Linked DNA regions of Mytilus edulis. Each later gene encodes a partner of the first gene's protein in a complex. Links are inferred from orthologs where the notes say so. Each region holds a gene or a part of one and is shown on either strand. Other genes may lie near its edges.

The links. The genes of interacting proteins can lie anywhere in the genome.
Region 2: protein virilizer homolog (region 1) and N(6)-adenosine-methyltransferase catalytic subunit METTL3-like share a complex: the UniProt entries of both Drosophila melanogaster proteins name them as parts of the WMM complex. The link is inferred for Mytilus edulis from reciprocal best matches to the Drosophila melanogaster genes vir and Mettl3.

What each region holds. Positions count from the first base shown.
Region 1 is NC_092348.1:85,678,881-85,686,536, forward strand, and holds the start of protein virilizer homolog, read right to left. Parts: upstream 3,038-7,656; 5' UTR 2,981-3,037; coding exon 2,915-2,980; intron 1,745-2,914; coding exon 1,632-1,744; intron 102-1,631; coding exon 15-101; intron 1-14. UniProt on the Drosophila melanogaster protein: Associated component of the WMM complex, a complex that mediates N6-methyladenosine (m6A) methylation of mRNAs, a modification that plays a role in the efficiency of mRNA splicing and is required for sex determination.
Region 2 is NC_092348.1:95,909,489-95,916,792, forward strand, and holds the start of N(6)-adenosine-methyltransferase catalytic subunit METTL3-like, read right to left. Parts: upstream 3,070-7,304; 5' UTR 2,946-3,069; coding exon 2,795-2,945; intron 1,082-2,794; coding exon 811-1,081; intron 71-810; coding exon 1-70. Other genes in the region: cleavage and polyadenylation specificity factor subunit 5-like, read left to right, coding at 3,195-3,316. UniProt on the Drosophila melanogaster protein: Catalytic component of the WMM complex, a complex that mediates N6-methyladenosine (m6A) methylation of mRNAs, a modification that plays a role in the efficiency of mRNA splicing and is required for sex determination.

The sequences.
Region 1 (7,656 bases):
ATTAGCTAACTTACACTCCAAGACTCTCAAAGGTAGCTGCATTAGGTTTACTGAGGTTGTTGACAAATAGTTCTAACTTGAATATAGATGGGTTAGTAGCCCTGAAATAAAATAAAAAAACAAAACTTAAGAATACTGTGGATTCAATTGTTTTTTTGGATATCAATTTTCATGGCTTAAGGAAAAACTGTTTCATCATTGATATCATATTTCATGGTTTTAACAAGCTCTTCTTACCAAGACTAAACAAAATTTGCAATTAGTCAAACATTTAAATCCCAGGTTCACCTATACCACTAAGTCATTGATTTTTTTATTCAACAATTAATAATCAATCCAAAGTAGAGAAGAATCACTTTAAGAACAGTATTTCAAGGAGTTTCAAAATGAAAAATAAAACCTTCCTAGATCTACATGTACATACATATGTATATATAGATGTACATAACTTAATAATTTCATGTCACAATTTTTTTTTGTATGTGTTTAACGCCATTTTTAGCAGCATTGGCAATATCATGATGGTGACTGATTCTTATTGGTAGAGGAAGCTTGTGAACCTGGAGAGAACCATACAACTATATATGTCAATCATTTGTTTAATATGAACAGGGTAGTTTTGAATGGAATTTGAATCACCATGTTAAAAGTGGACAGGCTAGTGATTACTGTAAATGAACTAAATTTTGTACTATGATCACTCTGAGGACCAACTGTCACAATTGAAATAGTAAGGAAAACTTTCTGCTGATAGTTACAATGTAGGTACATGTATTTTCATTGCCATGTTATCATTTTCATTTTTTTTTGCCTAGTCATGATAGTAGTATAAACCCTTCAAATATTTGAAATTTCTTGTTTCAATAACCAATCCCAAGGAATACAAATATATGTATAGATTTAACAGGTTATGAATGTTTTAATTGTTATGTTCTGTTTTCAAACTTTTAATACCACTTTACCATGTTTACTGAACTGCAGATCTAGAGTATTTTTAATATTTGTAAAATTTGGCTTTGTAAAAAAAGTTCTTCCCTTTAAACTAATATTGTTTTTCTTTTCGAATACTGCATGGGATGAATAAGTGCTGCTACAGGTACATGGTTGTGGGGATGATTTCTTATTATCTAACTAAACTCTAATAAATATTAAAACAACAGCTTTGCATTTTGGTGTATACTAGTTAAGAAGAAAAGATAAGATGACGTCAACCTTGGATACAATGTTACTTCCGAGATGTTGCTGGTTATGCTGTTTTCTCAACACTTTCAGGGCTTCAAAAAAGTATTATATGCAGAAGAGAAAATTGAAATACAATATATACATGTACATATAACTTAAATTAAATTTAGATTATTGTCATCTAAGAATACATGTAGTTGTCTTTTTCTAGGCAAAATATAAGGTGACATTGATCTTGGATACAATGTTACTTCTGAGACGTTGCTGGTCCAGAGGTCTTCTGGACAATGGTCAACACAGTGAACACACTGTATGTTGCATTGTTGTATTCAAGACATGGAAGTACATTTTATTCCTTTTACTAATAGTTTGTGTACATGCATATGTCTCTAATCATCAAGATCATTATTCTGATCCTTTATCTTTTACTTGATGTACATGTAGCTTACCCTAGCCTAACACCTCCTGGTACATCTGCTTCAACTTTGGTTTGCAGGGGTATTACCCTGATTTCCTGAATAATAACTGGCCTTGGAAACTGTACCAAGTCTAAATTTAACTCCTATAAAGAGAATAAAAGAAAGTGAATACAAATTCTCCAGTGTGAAGAGGAACACTGTGGGGAATATAAAATTTGTTTAGTGTTAAAGTAAAATATTCAATGCATTGATTCATGCAAGGTAGGGATTTTTTGCATTTGTTAAAGGGTACAAAAAGCATCCAAAGTGGAAATGGTTGTGACCTATAAAAAAATTGTAGGCCACCTTCTTCTATTTATATAGATAATCACCCTTCCCATGGATAGAAACAAGTGTCTGTGCCCAATCGGATAATTATTAAATCAATTAATTCATATTATATGTGATGAACCATGATGTTGATCAAACTATGACAAAGCGGTTTCTAATGAACAGCTCATGAATAAATGTGTACATATTTAAAAATAATTTAAAATGATGCTTTGACACAAATCCATCGATGCAACTAAAAAGATAATAAATGTAATATTTTTTAGATCCAGTTTCATTTTAAGGTTCATCATAAGGAATTGAAAAATATGGCCGTGTTTACACCTAAAAAATTACTATGAGTGCAGACAAACTGGTACATCCAGGAAAGTTTTAAGGCATGGCAGGAACTAGATATATAAAAGTTATACGAAGTCTACGTTTCAGAAAATTAAAAACTTACCTGGATTTTCATGTCCAGTTTTTTTCAGTCTGCAGAAGATAGCAAAATAAACAAACACCCGAGTTTCATTTGATACGGTCCACTCAGTTACACAGTTTAAATCACCTATTGTTTACAGGTGTCTATTGTCCATCCATTGTCCATTTAAATCAATACTACTCACAACATTGATTATATGAGGGGAGCTTCTCAATCGTTTTCACTACTTAGTTAATTTTTGCACCTTCTGCAGGAACGAAAAAAACTGGAAGGCAAAATCTAGAAAAGTTTATAATTTTCTAAAACATAAAATGCATTTAAAATTTATATACCTAGTTCCTGCCATCCCTTAAAACTGTTGCAAGTGCATAGGTTAGTCTGTACCCAGAGTAAAATTTGGGGTGTAAATACGGCCATATTAGCCAAAAGGTTATGATGAACCTTAAAAATAATAATACACGTCAAATGCGGCTATTTTATGTTGCATTTAATGGATTTATACACGAATGAAAGTTATTTGTGTTTGATACTGGAATAAATACACTCTTTATAAACCATATACCTCAGCGCTTTCGTGAGAAAACGTATCAAAAAACAACAACTCGGGTTCCTGCCCGGTGTCAGCCATTTTTTGGAAATAGTAAAAAATGGATCGAAGATGGTTTGGTACAGAAAATACGGAACGAGAATAATTGTCTTTGCTATCTCAATATTGTTAGGTGAATTGTCGTATTGTTTGTATTATAACCCACATTCCGTGTTATTTATATAACTCAGGTCAAAAGAAATATGCATAATAAAAACGATTAATCACAGTGGTCGAAAACTCCCACATTATTATTCCCAGAAATCTGTCTCTCATTGAAAAATGTTTTCCTATACAGTATACCTTTAATGATATATTAAGATATCATAGGCGGATCTAAGGGGGATCGCGGCCGGATCCCCCCCCCCCCCCCTTTTGTAGAAAAAAAATGAGTGATTATACGGTAAGTCAGTGGACCCCTTCTAAGAAGTTCTGGATCAGCCACTGGGTATAAAGTGTTTTTTTCCAGAGACAAAATTCCTGTGAATCACGACGGTGGAAAGATTGTATAATTCAAAAAATATAATATGTATTTAGGTATAGTGCGAGCAATAAAACATTTATAATATATAGCACTATTGTAAGCAGTTGCATTTTAATATATATTACTGCAGTTTTCAAAAATATATAACCAATTTGTCAGCGGATTGTCGTGAGTCAATATGATAGCAGATACTATTCATGATTGGCATAATGTGACAACTTTTCATATCATAATCAAACAGTATGTGCATTGCGGTCAGTTCATGTTTTAAATTTTCATCTATAAATAAAAACATCAAGATCAAGCACGTACATATGTCATTATTTTATACGTCTTTACATTGACATGTTATTTTCCTCTTCTTATAATTGAAACACTTAAATATGACACTCAGTAAAGCAGCAGCGTAAGAGTAGACTGAAAAGACACAGAGAAAAAGGGGGGTGGGGTAGTATTCTGTGAGATTGTATATTTGTTCTGCATAATATATGTTCCACATATATATGCATGGAACAAAAAAGTATGTTATAAAATTCCTGGAACTTAAATTACATGATATTTATTGAGGGTGAGGCAAAAAATATATAAATACTGTAAGTGGAGCATGAATCATCAATTAAATACATGGCATGGGCTGCGCCATCCGCATGATCCGCGAACGACCTAGATTAGAGAAACACATAAACGATATGAAAAGGCAAGCCAAGAGAAACCTTGGTTGATAACACTGAAATCTCTACATAGTCTGAAGATTCCTAAAAAGACAGGGTTATAAGATATACGTAAGACCAACAATGGAATATGCTTCGACAATATGCTACCCATATCAGTAAAAGCCCAAAGTAACAATCGAAAAAGTACAAAGACGAGCTAACTGCGCGGTGTGTAAGAAGAAGACATGGAAAAAGACCAAGTGACATCAACATGATACAAGAACTAGGATGGAAAAACTTACAAGCGAAGCACAAGGCAACAGGAATTTTTGTGTGCTGTACAATTTAACAAATGACCTGGTAGCTATAGACAAGAACAACAAAAAAATCTACAGAATCCAACAACAAGCTCTAATGGAACAGGAAATCATACATGATACATCAGTTATAGCTGACAACATATTGATTTATTTGTATTTGATTCTCGCAATTGCAAGCATATTTTTTAGCGGTATATAATAGTATTTGTTCTTGTACTCGTGATATTCTTTCCTGTTTGTTATATTTGAATGTTTTGTCATTAGAGAATTTAGTTTGATGTTATATTTGCTATCTACTCTTCAATCTTTATTTCATTTTTAAGACTCAGGTGATGTAGAGTTAAATATGATGTCTGTTGTTGTATAGTTGAAAATTATGATGCCTTGTAGATCGACGTCCTTCGAATATTTATTTTAGTACAGGTATTGTTCATATCTTTATATTCAGACTATAAAATAGTATCACAAAAATACCGAGCTCCAATGTACTTGAGTATATTACAAGTGGAGGTCTATAAAATACCGAGCTCCAATGTACTTGAGTATATTACAAGTGGAGGTCTATAAAATACCGAGCTCCAATGTACTTGAGTATATTACAAGGGGAGGTCTATAAAATACCGAGCTCCAATGTACTTGAGTATATTACAAGGGGAAGTCTATAAAATACCGAGCTCCAATGTACTTGAGTATATTACAAGGGGAGGTCTATAAAATACCGAGCTCCAATGTACTTGAGTATATTACAAGGGGAGGTCTATAAAATACCGAGCTCCAATGTACTTGAGTATATTACAAGGGGAGGTCTATAAAATACTGAGCTCCAATGTACTTGAGTATATTACAAGGGGAGGTCTATAAAATACTGAGCTCCAATGTACTTGAGTATATTACAAGGAGAGGTCTATAAAATACTGAGCTTCAATGTACTTGAGTATATTACAAGGGGAGGTCTATAAAATACCGAGCTCCAATGTACTTGAGTATATTACAAGGGGAGGTCTATAAAATACCGAGCTCCAATGTACTTGAGTATATTACAAGGGGAGGTCTATAAAATACCGAGCTCCAATGTACTTGAGTATATTACAAGTGGATGTCTATAAAACACCGAGCTCCAATGTACTTGAGTATATTACAAGTGGATGTCTATAAAATACCGAGCTCCAATGTACTTGAGTATATTACAAGTGGAAGTCTATAAAATACCTAGCTCCAATGTACTTGAGTATATTACAAGGGGAGGTCTATAAAATACCGAGCTCCAATGTACTTGAGTATATTACAAGGGGAGGTCTATAAAATACTGAGCTCCAATGTACTTGAGTATATTACAAGGGGAGGTCTATAAAATACCGAGCTCCAATGTACTTGAGTATATTACAAGGGGAGGTCTATAAAATACCGAGCTTCAATGTACTTCAGTATATTACAAGGGAAGGTCTATAAAATACCGAGCTCCAATGTACTTGAGTATATTACAAGGGGAGGTCTATAAAATACTGAGCTCCAATGTACTTGAGTATATTACAAGGGGAGGTCTATAAAATACTGAGCTCCAATGTACTTGAGTATATTACAAGGAGAGGTCTATAAAATACTGAGCTTCAATGTACTTGAGTATATTACAAGGGGAGGTCTATAAAATACCGAGCTCCAATGTACTTGAGTATATTACAAGGGGAGGTCTATAAAATACCGAGCTCCAATGTACTTGAGTATATTACAAGGGGAGGTCTATAAAATACCGAGCTCCAATGTACTTGAGTATATTACAAGTGGATGTCTATAAAACACCGAGCTCCAATGTACTTGAGTATATTACAAGTGGATGTCTATAAAATACCGAGCTCCAATGTACTTGAGTATATTACAAGTGGAAGTCTATAAAATACCTAGCTCCAATGTACTTGAGTATATTACAAGGGGAGGTCTATAAAATACCGAGCTCCAATGTACTTGAGTATATTACAAGGGGAGGTCTATAAAATACTGAGCTCCAATGTACTTGAGTATATTACAAGGGGAGGTCTATAAAATACCGAGCTCCAATGTACTTGAGTATATTACAAGGGGAGGTCTATAAAATACCGAGCTTCAATGTACTTCAGTATATTACAAGGGAAGGTCTATAAAATACCGAGCTCCAATGTACTTGAGTATATTACAAGGGGAGGTCTATAAAATACCGAGCTCCAATGCACTTGAGTATATTACAAGGGGAGGTCTATAAAATACCGAGCTCCAATGTACTTGAGTTTATTACAAGGGGAGGTCTATAAAATACTGAGCTCCAATGTACTTGAGTATATTACAAGGGGAGGTCTATAAAATACTGAGCTCCAATGTACTTGAGTATATTACAAGGGGAGGTCTATTAAATACCGAGCTCCAATGTACTTGAGTATATTACAAGTGGAGGTCTATAAAATACCGAGCTCCAATGTACTTGAGTATATTACAAGGGGAGGTTTATACCGAGCTCCAATGTACTTGAGTATATTATAAGGGGAGGTCTTTAAAAACTGATCAAATCAAACGTTAGACTTTATCAACTAACTACGGGGATTTTTCAGAAACAATTTTTATCGTATACATGTGCTATTTTGTCATTGGCAGATGTAATTGTTGAGGGGTGGGTGTTGCACTATTAACACATTACCGTACAACCTCTCAATGCGACTATTCAAAAGTAGGCGACAACGATGTCGTCTTTCTATTTATTTTTATGCCCCACCTACGATAGTAGAGGGGCATTATGTTTTCTGGTCTGTGCCTCCGTTCGTCCGTCCGTCCGTCTGTGTCTCCGTTCGTCTGTCCGGTTAAAGTTTTTGGTCGAGGTAGTTTTTGATGAAGCTGAAGTCCAATCAACTTGAATCTTTCTAATTTTAATGCCAAATTATAGTTTTGACCCCAATTTCATGGTCCACTGAACATAGAAAATGATAGTACAAAGTTCAGGTTAAAGTTTTTGGTCAAGGTAGCTTTTGATGAAGTTAAAGTTACATCAACTTGAAACTTAGTACACATGTTCCCTATGATATGATCTTTCTAATTTTAATTCCAAATTAAAGTTTTGACCCCAATTTCACGGTCCACTGAACATAGAAAATGATAGTGGGAGTGGGGCATCCGTGTACTATGGACACATTCTTGTTGGAATGTTATATTGAACAATGTTAAACCAGTAGTGTAAAAAGAGCGACCTTTGTTCATTTCTAAATATTATACTCATCAGTCTGCTGAGTATCTCTATAAAAC
Region 2 (7,304 bases), about 10 Mb from region 1:
AGTTATATCCATACTATTGACAGTAATTTTGCCTTGTTCATCTTCTAAACTGTCATCTTTTACTGTTATACTGAAAGAAAAATATTACATCATTAAAATATTTAAATTTCTTTACACCTTACAATGTATCCCTATTCCCTCCTGAACCTAAAATCTGTGCCGCTTGAACTATTGACCTATTCCCTCCTGAACCTAAAATCTGTGCCGCTTGAACTATTGACATGATACAACATTCACTTTTCCATTGTGGCATCAGATATTTTGTATTATGATGCCAACATTTTACAGGAACCTGTGTGATATCCAGTAATGGCAGACAAATAGCGATAAGGTGTATTCATATACCTTAAAATTGGATATTTTATTTGGATAATGGTTTGATTGATTGATCGCTGCTTAACATCCAGAGGTGAAAATTGTCATTATAATACCCTGCGTTGCACTACACTGACAGGTTGCGATAGATTCTTAACAGGCTAGGACATAAGGTTATTATAGTCAACAGGAGAACATGCCATCCTGCACTTACTGCATGAACACACTGTCCTGACTCCATGTCAACTTGTCTTGCTCTGATTACAAAATGTCTACACCTTTCAATCCCTTACGACCATGATGACATATTGAAATGTAGCATTAAAGCATATGGATTTTATTTTCTCCTGGTTTTGGAAATCTACATTTATTAACTGCAGAGATAAAAAAAAAATATTTTGGTGTAGCTGCATTGCTATAGTACTAGTATTGGCATATAACTCATATCTTATACATGTATATTTCTTTCATCATGTTCATATTTATTTCACCTACTTTATCAGCTGTTGTCCTGCAAATTTCTTCAGTAATTCTTCCACAACATCAAGTTTAACGGTCTGTTTGAGTATTTTAGATGAATGTTCTGCTATAACATTAGAACTACAGGGTATGTCTAGATCTATGTCACAGAGAGCCAACATTACTTTCTTCTCTAGAACAGGGTCTATCTTTGTAGGTTCAGCAGCCGGTGTGGACTTTACTGGACTGGAAGATGTAGATGGTATTGCTTTAACAGGGCTTGCTGATTCTGATTGGCTCTTTGTATCTGAAAAATAAAGTTCATGATTTGAGGCAAAATCAATTAAAAGTTCTTGTACAAAATTTTTATTTAAATTCAAATTCAAACCAGATGCTCCGCAGGTTGCAGCTTTATACGACCGCAGAGGTTGAACCCTGAATGGTTGGGGCAAGTATGGACACAACATTCAAGCTGGATTCAGCTCTAAATTTGGATTGTGATTAAATAGTTGACACAGCATAGGTTTCTGACACAGAATGAATGTGGTCTAATGAACTTAAAATATTTTTTTTGCCTTTGAGTTATTCACTATGCTGTTGAATATTAATCCTCTCAAAAAAATGTTTAAAGAAATTTTCTTTTTATTTATGAAATCTGAAATGAGAAAAATTTACCCCCCCCCCCCCCTCCCATTTTTTTTTCACATCCCCCTTTACCATGTTTACCTTTTTCCAAAACTGATCTCAATTCAAACTTCTAATGGAGTTTGCAACAATAACTACTCATTTAAGTACATCATAAAATATTAAAATATAAAATAAAGTGCTTGTTATCACTGAATGGTAAAGATTGTTTTAATTTATCAGTCGGTAGTAAAAGTGAATATGCATTGTATAATGTTTAGATTTAGCATATCAAAAAAGCCCAAGAATTCAATTTTTGTTAAAATCAAACTTAGTTTAATTTTGGACCCTTTGGACTTTAATGTAGACCAATTTGAAAAGTTATGGTGCGAAAACCAAGAACAATGCTTATTTGGGCCCTTTTTTGGCCCCTAATTTCTAAACTGTTGGAACCAAAACTCCCAAAATCAATACCAACCTTCCTTTTGTGGTCATAAACCTTGTGTCAAAATTTCATAGATTTCTATTTACTTAAACTAAAGTTATAGTGCTAAAACAAAGAAAATGCTTATTTGGGCCCTTTTTGGCCCCTAATTCCTAAAATATTGGGACCAAAACTCTCAAAATCAATCCCAATCTTCCTTTTGTGGTCATAAACCTTGTGTTAAAATTTCATAGATTTCTATTCACTTTTACTAAAAATAATGATTGTTGATTTAACTTGCTTTGATGTAAATACTGCATGTATTTATCTTGTTATGAGTGAGTAAAACTTTGAAGATCACGAGAGATAATTGTTTTTAACAGCTTGGCTCCTAAATTTGATCTCTTTTAAAAAAAAATATTCATAGCAATACACTTACGAAATATGATTAAGATTTTATCAACACATAAAAAACATTGTCAGAATTTCACTTTATTTAGAAAAAATGAACAAATCATTTTTATGTAGAGCAATACACTTGCTTTAACGGTATTATAAAGATTTATTCAACACGTCAAAAAAATGTTATCAGAACCTCACTATATGTAGAAACAATGAAAAAAATATTTATAAATAGCAATACACTTCATGCACTTTATTACCCAAACTCGATTCCAAATTGTATAACACAATACCCATAAAAATTGGTCTTGAACGTGTAGGGTGCGAACAGACTTTGAGTGCGAAAGTGTAGGGTGGGAAAGTGAAAGGGCGCCAACGTGAATGGGCGCGAAGGTGATTGCTCGCGAACAGACCCAGATTCATGAGACCTCCAGTAAAATGGTGTAAAAATAGCAATAAGATCAACATTAACGACAATGGAAAAAAAAATATATGGGTCAGCTATTTTGTGTGCTAATTCTCAGTTGCAAAATGGACAATTTCAATGAGAACCAGATAATGGTGTTTCACCTTCACTACTTGTTGTTGGTGAGATGCTAGACTTGGTGATTTCGGCTGCAATTTCCTCTCTTTCTTTTCGTCTCTGGAGCATTTTAGCTCTCAAGCTACTCTGTTTGCTTTTGATAGCTTGGATATCGCTCCATGCATCTGAATCTGACATGGTGGTGTCTTAAATCAGGTTCGTAAATAGGTAAATAGTTCGATCTCGAAATCAATTCTCTTTTTTTTTTAATTTGATCAGTGTCAATTATCTGCAATTCAAACAAACGAAATATTTTCTATTTTAAAGCGCTTAAAAGACCCAGAAGGGCACTTTTCTAAAATAACTGGTTCCCTGTTTGTAATTTTGTTGCTGATTTGCCTCAAATTAATATAAAAAGAACCAGAATAAAGTAGGAAAACATTGACAATGGCGTCACATGGAAGAGCACACGGCGTTCCCCACGGTTGGCCTAAACAATCTAATTCCGCATCCTTCCCAAAATATGGCACTGCAAATCCTCTCATAACTCTCGACAGACCAATCAATTTGTAAGCACTCTAGCCATATAGGTTCATGTGTCTTTTAATTTATCTATCAGAAATTCATGATCTTTCTTTTGTAGACTACTACTACTAGTACTAGTGCAACACTCCAACAGCAAGACAGGATCTGTATGATTCCGGATAAGTGTTCCTGGTTAATTAGTTCTTTTGAAGAATGCGTAAACCACAGACCCAACTTAATCAGGTCATGAACCATACCAGCTAACCCTCACATTGCGAGCGGGAGACTCTAGGGCAAACAACAAAATTACGGAAATCTCCCACTTGCCAGTCCAGTCCCGAACAGGATTAAAATCTCTCGCTTTTGGATATTTTGACCTGGAATAATACGAGTTCAAAATTCTCTGCCTTTTCAATAAAATGTTAAGCTTTTTTTTAAATTTGTTTCCTATTATACTTGCAGTGTTCTCCCCGGTATCAGGTCCGTTCGCGCCCAATATACTTTTGCACCCTACACGTTCGCACCTCGCACGTTCGCACCCAAGGTCCGTTCGCACTCTACACGTTCGCGCCCAATTTTAATTCAAATTCCAGTTGAATAATTTGAAAATCATGATTGTTGTTTTTAATTGCTTTCGTGTAAATACTGAATGTATTTATAGCTTGGTATGAGTAAAAGATTGAAGATTTTAAATGAAAAACACAAAAGATAATTGTTTTGAACAGCTTGGTCCCTTTGATCTGAAATAATGAAACAATACACTATTATATATCACTATACATGATAAAATTTAATCCAACACACACAAAAAAAAAGAAACGTAGTCAGAATCTCACTTCATTTTGAAACAAGTCAATGAAAAAAAGTTATAGCAATACACTAACCAAAACATGATAAACAATTATTCAACAGTTCAGTTCAGTTCAGTTTCTTGTATATTCCTCCATTAAATGTGGAGCACTACCCAAAGGGTATAGTTTGAGCAACTATTTACACCTTAAAACATAGGGAAACAATTAATTAAATTATATACAGATGACTGAATTTCAACACAAAATAAAACGTTGACAGAATCCCACTTTATTTAGAAAGGAATATAATTTTTTTTAACAATACACTAACCAAAACATGATTAAGATTTATTCAACACAAAAAAAATGCTGTCTCACTTTATTTTGAGACCATGAAAACAATTATACTTATAAGAATACTACGTACTTGCCAAAACTTGATTACAAAGTTATTAAACACAAAACCAATTAAAATTGGGCGCGAACATGTAGGGTGCGAACGGACTTTGGGTGCGAACATGTAGGGTGCGAAAATGAAAGGGGGCGAACATGTGTGGGTGCGAACGTGAATGGGCGCAAACGGACCCGGATTCGTTCTCCCCAGGCCGTTTTAGCGTCGCGGTACCGCGACGCTATATTTTTTCACCGTGATGCTATGATAATTCCAGCGACGCTATAATTATTACCGCAACGCTATAATTATTCCCGCCACGCTATAATTATTTTGAAGATGCTATTTTACTTGTCCTCAATTTTGAACTTTCATCTATTATTGATTATGATCATAAAAATTATATCACCTTTAATTGTAATCCCTTTAAGTCGGACACGAAAGGCAATTAAGAGATTAAATAGCTAGGTGTTAATTGCCCTCAGGGTGATAACTGTTTGGATGCGAATATCCCAAGCTGTCACTTGTGACATGATTAATACCACGTCACGTGTCTGCAATCACCAATTTCGACATGGAATAATGCAATCACAACACAATTCGAAATCTACGTTTTATATTACGAAATTTCAAAGATTGAAACGATTTTTATTTTTTTTTAAAAGGTCGTTTATTTGTGCAACTCTCCAAAAATTACTTTCTTTCTCTTCCAGTAATACGAGAGCGAGAATTTTGGTTTAGAGCTAAAATAAGTTTAATATTTCTTTAAAAAGTTATCATAATTGGCTGAAGTTTATGTTTAATCCATTTAATGCATTAAAAGCGTCTTATTCATTCACAATCTCTTGTCAAACAATGTTTATTCTCAGACTCATTTTCGTAAATTTTTCTACGGCCGCCATTGCACATTTTTGTGTAAACTACGGATAGGAACCGGACTAGATATGACAAAAATCCGCATTTTCACGATAATGACAACAGATGGACAGTAGACAGAAAAAATATACCACGAAAGAAAACTACGTATTAACAGACTATTTGTTAGATGACTTTGTTAAAAATACATATCATTTTGATGTAAAGATAAACAACTGGGACTAATTCATTGAGTGCCATGAAACAATGAATTTCATAAACATGATAAAAAAAAGTTTTTAAATTGAGGATTTTTTTGGCTACTTTATCTTTACTTAAAATAATATAAAAAATTGTTAATTTTGTGTACTAAATATTTAGTTTTGTATATATATACCGGTTGCACTATAATGAACCATTCATTCATTTGACTTATTATTGGGTAACTGAAACCACATATTTATTTTTATTTGGCACAAAAGGAAAAAAATAATTCTGATTACTATAAATGAATAAAGAAAACATAAACTGAAACAACTGTTTTTGTGGTTACAGTTTAATTGTATTCTCAGTTATGAATTGAACAATATAAACTAAAACATATAAAGGAAATAGAGCATCAACACGACGCGACAAATGACATTAAAAAAAATACTGTTATTTTTTTTAACGTAAAAATTTCTGGGGAGAACACTGACTTGTACTTTTCATTAACAGTGTTCTCCCCAGAAATTTTGGATAGCATCACATTTTGCGTAAAAAAAAATAAGTGTATTTTTTTTAATATTGTTTGTGATTGCATATTTCCATGTCGATATTGGTGATTGCAGACACGTGGTATTTAGTCATGTCACAAGTGTCAGCTTGGGATATTCGCATCCAAACACTTTTACAGTTATCACCCTGAGGGCAATTAACACCTAGCTATTTAATCTCTTAATTGCCTTTAGTGTCCGACTTAAAGGGATTACAATTAAAGGTGATATAATTTTTATGATCATAATCGATAATAGATGAAAGTTCAAAATTGAGGACAAGTAAAATAGCATCTTCAAAATAATTATAGCGTCGGCTACGCCTCATGGTGTACTGGGGTACTTCAGGGTGTTAAAATACCCATATCTATGGATATGAACGATACGCCTCATGGTGTACTGGGGTACTTCAGGGTGTTAAAATACCCATATCTACGGATATGAACGTAGATAACTTATAATAACACCATATAAAATATAGTTTTTCGATCATATCTATTGGTTAATATTCAGCTTTGGAGTTCTTAAGAAAATGTGGTTTTGATAAGGGATGTCAACTCTGTAAAAATTTACTAATCAAGTATAACATACAAGTTGGATTTATTGAGCGATACTCAAGTACTCGCTCGGTTACACACTTACCAAATGGAAACACAAAATTATACCCAATAAAAATGTTTTCTGTTTAAACTTAAGAAAACAATAACATTCTAACAGGAAACCAAATAGTTGAGCAATACTTGAGTACTTGTTGACATCCCTAGTTTTGATGATATGAATTAATAGACCACTCTTCAGTTATGTCCTTCAATGGAAAAGTTTGTCAGTTATGCTTTTAGCTTCTTTATGACATCATTAATCAGATGGAGTGGATCCCTTGTATCTATCAAGCTTCTTCATGATTATAATTTATTATGCAGCACAAACTAGAAATTAAACCAAAGTATATAAGGGAATGCAACTAAGTAGAAGGATGTCTATTGCAGTAGAATGTATTAGAATGTGAATTACACAGAAATCGACCTTATGCAAGTGAATATCAATACTTTTTTTTATCCTATTTCTGATGGAAAAAATCTATATCAAAAGTCGGTAACTGTTTGAAACTTTGAGTTGTTTTAAGAACACTATAAAACAGACTAAAATTCATCTTTTATTTTATATTCGAACATGTTGAATGTTTTTAAAACCAATCACAGTTGTGTACATGTAAATGTGTACTTGCATAAGGTCGATTTCT